Linked DNA regions of Mytilus edulis. Each later gene encodes a partner of the first gene's protein in a complex. Links are inferred from orthologs where the notes say so. Each region holds a gene or a part of one and is shown in the gene's direction. Other genes may lie near its edges.

Region 1 (3,760 bases):
GAAAAATGTGCTTTGCCACTCGTGTAAATAATTTTACATATTTGTATATATTATTCTTAACCTTGAAAATAATCAGTAAATTTCAAAGTAATATCAGGAATGTACTAAGGGTTATTGCATGCATAAGGGGAAATATTATCATCAATAGATTTTTATTGAAACACCTTGGTGTGCTATTCATATCATATGCTACAAAGGATACTTGTCCAATTTTTGTGCAGTAACCCTTTTATTGTATATACCAAAGCTTGATAAACATTAACTCTTTCATTGTCTTCTGAAACATATTTTTGTCCAAGATGACACATTGCTAATTTGAAGCTTTTTGCATTAGTGCAATAAAATGATCATATAATACATCATTTCAAACGAATAACAAGTAATGTTCTGTATGAAATTATATGTTCATTTATGATTTTGCAATAGAATACCAATATACATGTATGAAGACATTTCAATGTAAAACAAACCTGCAAATTTTCTGCCTTTCTCAAGTTTATTCTTGTAAAATTAAGGCATAATCCGAATTATACAACCAATATTTCTTCCAGGAATTCCAGCTAATCTAATTTTTATGTCCACAACTGAAAATATAAATTAGATAACAAACATTATATTTTAAATGAATGAAACTTTGGTTATACATGTACTATTTAATATTCAACTGATCTCAAATTACAAAATATCAGTTTTTCAGGTGTATTTTTTAAAACTTAGACATGTTTGTATACCATCTGTTACCCAGTCAATAAAAATAATACTAAAATAACATGCAGTGTCCATGTATGGAATGATATTAAATTATAGTCATTCTAGAACATCCAATCCTTTTTCAGTTTCTAGCCAATCTAGGCAACGTCTTTCTATCATTGTTTTAATTTTGCCGGCTCAAATATTTATTTAAAATTTTGGAAGGAAATCCACATATTTATGAAAAAAGTGCAAAGTTGATTCTGAATGGGTGACCTTCATGACCTTTGTGATTGTAAACCTATTGTCTGTTATGTTCTGGTATGTATATTCATGTAATTTTCTTTTAAAACAAAACTTATCTTCCAAAAAAAAGAAGTATTATTATAGAATAAGATAAGCGAATAATCTGCAGGGCAGATACATTTATTTATGTGTAAAATACTGTAACAACAGTCAGGGCTCTCACAGAAAGAACTTAAAAGGTAATTAAATATTACTTAATCAGGGGCGGATTTAGGCGGTGGCGTGGCGGGCGTGCGCCCCCCCCCCCCCCCCCCCTCCCAAAAAAAATTTGCAAAGCATGGGTTGTCTTCAACTTATTTAAGTATCAGAAGATACCATTCCATCTTTTTTAACATTCATTATATTATATTGTATATATAACAGTCAGTTTAACAGAATTAATGTGATTACTAATCAACTGACCTACATTTTATTTAAGTTCTAAAAATATTGTATACTCCAAAGGAAGGTGTCAAACGCGGAGCTGCGTTTGGTGTCAAACATAATAGATGTTTAGCAGTTAATTTTTTCATTGTATTTGCGCTTTTTATTATCAATTTCTTTGATAATCAAAGTTCCAACTAACTTTTTTGTGGTGTACCTGTATTTCTTTATATCACAACTACCTGCAGCACGTCTTTTAAGCCGGGTTTAGTTAAGATATTACCCGATATTGCTATATAGATAATTTTACAAGTGATGGTGTCTTGATTGTAGATTGGTTTGCATTGGAACACAGAATCAAAATAAAAGGTTTGCATGATCTTCAGCTTCTGTTTTTGGGGCTGCAACTTTATTACTGTAGCTTTATAAACTCATATATACAATATGAATTCCTTAGTGCATGCCTGAGTGAGGGGTGTTTGGAGATTGTTGTGGATTTCTCCAACTTGTAAGACACCTTGCCCTCATAACTCGGAGGTTCTTCGCGGAACAGGGACATATTGTTTTACCTCTGTCCGTCCATCTGTCAGTCAGACACTATATATTTGGTCCAGAGGATTAACTAGGACGCATGCACATCTATTTCTAGTACTTCATTAAATGCAACACCAGTTTTCCCAGCAACTATTGACATACTTTTATGTGGAGGGTCAGCTTGTGTACTCCGGATTGAGGAATGTCTCTATCGATCCTTATTGTTTTCTGTCCCGTTTTGAGGAAATATATGGGGATAGTCTCAATGAATAGAAGCTCAAAGATTTCTTGTTAAGTATGGTAATTATAGATTGTTTTCAGAGGAGGATTTCGTCGGTTTCAGCTTGAAACGTAAATTTCTCGCTAATTTTACCACACAATAGTTCGTGATATCTACATTGCACCCCCTTTAGAAGAATATTTCAATAATTTTACCTCAAAATTTTTTTTCGCCTCGTTCCGCTCAGCAAACAAAAAATTTGCGCCCCCCCTAACATTAAATCCTGGATCCGCCCCTGTTAATGTTTTCTCTTGATAATCTAATCACCTAAATCAATAATATTTGTGATCAGAAAAATAGCATTGACATTTTATCATGTTTATTGTTTATATGTTTGATGTTTGATGATTAGTTTTGTAAATGGTAAACACATGCACATGTCTCACGGATATAAAAGATAAGAACATGTGCTTATTAATCAATAGAATCAAATGATAAGTTTTATGAACACTGACCAGCTATTTAATTAACAATGATTAAATTAACACTAAAGGAAAAAAGAGGGGTTATTATCATGTTTATTGCAGAAAAAGAAGAAGATAAAAGTTGCCAGATCTGACTTTTGATACACAGGGTGTACATCTTCTTTATACAATGTATATCTCTAATTGCAGAGAGGAAATGCTTTCTTACTGGAATTATTATTGATTTACAATAAAAGTCCAATACTGAAGTATCCCAATGATACCTATATCTCACATGTCTGAATTACAAATGTATACTGAACTTGAAGTTCATGAGGTTCGAGTACAAAAATCCTATTTATTCACAACTTTTCATAGGCATCACTGTCTTTAAATGTCGAAATAATCCCCCAGATTTCGCTACAATAAAGGAGAATAGGGGCTACTAAGGAATCAAAAAGTTTTCCCAGAAGTTTACAAGGGTTATCTAATCCTATTGTTTTCTTTATTTTAAAATATGCTTTCCTAGCTTTTTCAAATGGCGAAGTGATGGCGACATTAAAACTGCCATTATATCTAATACTAATACCCATGTAACAATACCGGTAAGTTTCAATATAATTTAAGCAATATCAACAAATTTTAGGTCAATTAGATTTTATGTGATTTCTTTATGATTGTGAATTAAGTTTTATAAAATTCTGGGAAGAATTGTACACATGAGAGCACTAACAATCATTGACAATGCAACTTTCCGTATAATTTAAGGGTTTCCAAGGGACACAACTCTTTTAAACCAGATCCTCCACAGGGCGCAGCTTTATACGACCGCAGAGTTTGAACCCTGGACATTGGGGCAAGTATGGACACAACATTCAAGCTTGATACAGCTCTGAATTTGGATTGTGATTAAAACAGTTGACACAACACAGGTTTCTGACACATAATGAATGTGGTCTAAGAACTTGAACTTAAAAACTTTAAATTTTAAATTGACATTACCTATTATGGTCCAATATCCAAAATCTAAATACATGGTTAGATTCAGCATATCAAAGAACCCCAAGAATTCAATTTTTGATGAAATCAAATAAAGTTCAATTTTGGACCCTTAAGACCGCAATGTGGACCAATATGATAACCGGGCCCAAACATCAAAAATCTAAATACATGGTTAGATTAA
Region 2 (3,760 bases), about 110 Mb from region 1:
GACTGTCAGGATTTTTTAAATAACCCTTTAGGAAAATTGCAATGGAAAAGTTTAATCACCAAAAAAATACATACCTATTGGAATGACAAAATTAATAAAGAATCAGAGAAATACTCCAGCTTAAAATACATATCTGGTGAATATATGGCAAAAAGAATACATCCAATTCTTACAACAAATACATCAAATTGTAGAGACATAATCAAATTACCCATTAGGACCAGATTTGCAACTGGCAATTACATCTTACAGACAAATAGAGCAAAATTTAATCAAAATGATGTATCTGCCGTCTGCAGAGTTTGCGGTAAAGAGGATGAAACCATTTCACATTTTCTGATTTCATGTACACCTTTAGAAACTGAAAGAATGTCTCTTTTGAAATCTCTCCGAGAACAATATATCAAAGTGCTAAAACTACTAAACATTAATATGCATGATATAGATGTAGACTTCATCCATGTTATTATCAATCCATATCATCTAGTAAATTATTGTGGTACCTCTCTAACCAGTGAACTTTGTGCTTTTATTAACATCCATATAGAGCCTGCTTGTAGAACATTAATATATAAGCTTCATTTACACAGATACAAACTTTTAAATTTAGATCAGAAAAGATTTAGAAAAAATAATTTAAGATCATAGCCCTATTTAATGAAAAAAAAAGTTGTGTGTGGACTGCAAATCTCATATTTTCTATTAAGGACTCATTTTTAGATTTTATAGATGAGAACGGGTGTGATTTGTGTGTAAAGATATACCGACATTTGTAAATAGTGTACATCGTTATATATATTCTATTGGTGATTGGATATTGTAATTCACTACTGTATGTCATTATATTGGTGAAGGGATATATTGACTTCATACTGAAGGTGTGCCTATAATATTGGCAGAAAATATACAGATACAGTGAAACTACCGTGTGATAAGGGTGCTCCGTTGTGGAGGAATCTACGAAGAAAAGAAAGAAGGTCCGACATAACAGGCTATGTTTTAGGTATTTCAAAATTAAACTCTAAATTTTAAACTAAATGTTACATGACGATTTAAATGTATAAGTCTTAAATAAAAATAAAAATCATAGAGTTGACACAAAATCATGCAGAGTTTATAATTTTTAACAGAGTTGATCTTTCTCTTAGCTCATTATAGATTCGAAATTATATGTATGGTACCAGTCAATTATTTGGATTTGGCGGGAACCAGGAAGAAAAATAAACAAAACAGACACAAGAAACAAACACTTGCTATTTATTGTAAGTCACTGCTGGGAACAGTATATCTAATCATGGAAGTATTATATTGACATACTTCCATGATCTAATATATATGTTCCTGGTCACTGTTACATTTGATTTAATCAAGGATTTGTATAATAAGACCTTCTTACTATAGAGGGGGGATAGGACCTTTATCGGGACTCCGGGATCGCGTGTTTTTAAGCTCGGGATTTCGGGATTGACCCTTTCGGGATCCGGGAATTCTTTTTTTCGGATTTCGGGACGTCGGGATTTACTTTAAATTTAAATTCGGTAACTCGGGATTTTGTTTTTTTAAGTCCGGGATTTCGGGATCAGGACCCCTCCTATCCCCCCTCACTATACAAATGCTTGATTTAATACTAATAGATTCACTTTTGCAAATAGATTCATTCGTGTTCTGTATGTATCCCCTGAGATTACTGTGTTATAGGAGGGTGGTAAAGGGGGCCCTGAACACTGAAACATGTGAAATAAAAATCGCAAAAACGTTGCACGGAAAATAAAAAACGGAAAAACGAAGCACGAGAAATAAGATCGTAAATATTAAAGTCATAAGAAACGAGTGACTGGTGAAAAATAATGTTTATCCAATTCTTGAACCAGTGCATGTATATATTGTGACAAATCTGGACTGATAATTGTTATTATTTAACCTATTATTTATTGTATATTACATATATCTATTTGAATATTGCCAGGTGGTCAACTTCTCGGGAGTGCACAAATACTGATAAATGCATTGACTTTCATACTCATGATTCACAGGCGCTTGGGTCTATGATACAGATATTATTATTTTTTTTTTTTATTAAAATATTCAATTTTCTATATTTATAATACATATCTATCACTTTTGTGCATGTCTCACCTAGTTTCGAGTGATTTAAACGACCCAGTGAAAAAACCCAATTTTACTATCCATACTAAGAAACAAAAAGGCAACTAACTCGACGCCATTTTTCTGCTATCTATAAATAAATAGATTGACCTACCTGGATTCCCCGACGATTTCTCTAGGAAAGCGTGCCTTCCTTGCCGTCAGATCGCACACATCGTTGATATTTATCAAATTGGTATTGTTCGTATCATTTTTAGTCCATCTCCAGCATATAATAAAAAGATTAACTTTTTTGACTAATTTCAAATTTACGTGCCCGGAAGTTGACTGTTTTTCCCGAACTTTTGTTAAAGGGAAGTAATATTTTCCCGGACTTTTTCGGAACATCTCTCCAAGTACGTATGAAAATAATAAAGTGATACGATGATTTCCGAACTTTTACCAAAAAGGCGCAACTTTCCAATTACCGGAAAAGAATCTGTCATCATATTCAGTCTGAAATGATGACAATTCAACCAAAAGAAGATACTCATAAAAACATTGATTCATGATAATTTATAAATATACAAATACTCACACAAAATTGACTTATGAGTGGAATTAAAAAAAATTAAGCCATTGACCATTTGATCTGATATTTTTATTTATTTGGTGAAAAAGGGGGGGTGGGGGGGGGGCAAGGAAATTTACTAATATTTTCTTTCCACGAAAATGTTATTGACTTTGTTTTAATTATTACAAAACATGGGTCATGTTAACTGAAGTAAAAAAAAAAGGGGGGGAGGGGACAATATTTCCAAATTTTGCAGTTCCCCTTTCTAACATAAAATCAAAACTGTGATTTTTGAAAATTAAAAGATTATGACCACTAACAATCAAATTAGGGGCTTGATCTTGTTCGATATTCATCATATCTGTTTGTTAACATATAGTATTAGTTCGGAAGTCATCGTATCACTTTGTTATTTTCATACGTACTTAGAGAGATATTCCGAAAAAGTCCGGGAAAATATTACTTCCCTTTAACAAAAGTTCGGGAAAAACAGTTAACTTCCCGGCACGTAAATTTGAAATTAGTCAAAAAAGTTAAAATCTTTTTATTATATGCTGGAGATGGACTAAAAATGTTACGAACAATACCAATTTGATAAATTTCAACGATGTGTGCGATCTGACGGCAAGGAAGGCACGCTTTCCTAGAGAAATTGTTGGGGAATCCAGGTAGGTCAATCTATTTATTTATAGATAGCAGAAAAATGGCGTCGAGTTAGTTGCCTTTTTGTTTCTTAGTATGGATAGTAAAATTGGGTATTTTCACTGGGTCGTTTAAATCACTCGAAACTAGGTGAGACATGCACAAAAGTGATAGATATGTGTTATAAATATAGAAAATTGAATATTTTAATAAAAAAAATAAAAAAAAAAATATCTGTATCATAGACCCAAGCGCCTGTGTCATGATTTAAACTATTTGTACTTTGCAATCGATAAGGGTCAGTTTTATATGTATATCTTGGTAATGTATACCTATGAAATACTTTGATTATTCCGTCATATAGCCTCACCGGACACAATTACGAACGATTTTTGAACTTAGATTAATATTTTTTATGTAACGTGACGGTACCCAAATTGCACCTATTTTGACAGTTTT

Evidence for each region.
Region 2: the proteins of non-structural maintenance of chromosomes element 3 homolog (region 1) and non-structural maintenance of chromosomes element 1 homolog are in contact, whole or in part, in a crystal structure (PDB 7DG2), measured with the Xenopus laevis proteins. The link is inferred for Mytilus edulis from reciprocal best matches to the Homo sapiens genes NSMCE3 and NSMCE1. Residues at the interface, in XP_018121157.1 of Xenopus laevis: Gly57, Glu58, Val60, Gln61, Tyr62, Leu64, Ile65, Lys66, Gln68, Lys69, Val82, Thr100, Gln102, Gln103, Val104, Phe105, Gly106, Phe107, Asn123, Leu125, Gln126, Arg127, Val128, Gly130, Asp131, Gly132, Met133, Arg134, Asp136, Glu137; in NP_001083134.1 of Xenopus laevis: Ile5, Glu7, Gln10, Arg11, Leu13, Gln14, Ala15, Met17, Ser18, His19, Leu30, His33, Leu37, His38, Leu54, His57, Leu58, Pro60, Leu61, Phe62, Met63, Val84, Asn86, Ile88, Thr89, Met91, Ala92, Ser93, Asp94, Gln149.

The regions. Positions count from the first base shown.
Region 1 is NC_092344.1:12,733,695-12,737,454, reverse strand, and holds the start of non-structural maintenance of chromosomes element 3 homolog, read left to right. Parts: upstream 1-942; 5' UTR 943-957; coding exon 958-1,011; intron 1,012-3,760. UniProt on the Homo sapiens protein: Component of the SMC5-SMC6 complex, a complex involved in repair of DNA double-strand breaks by homologous recombination. The complex may promote sister chromatid homologous recombination by recruiting the SMC1-SMC3 cohesin complex to double-strand breaks.
Region 2 is NC_092344.1:117,754,696-117,758,455, reverse strand, and holds the start of non-structural maintenance of chromosomes element 1 homolog, read left to right. Parts: upstream 1-1,120; 5' UTR 1,121-1,262; intron 1,263-3,760. UniProt on the Homo sapiens protein: RING-type zinc finger-containing E3 ubiquitin ligase that assembles with melanoma antigen protein (MAGE) to catalyze the direct transfer of ubiquitin from E2 ubiquitin-conjugating enzyme to a specific substrate.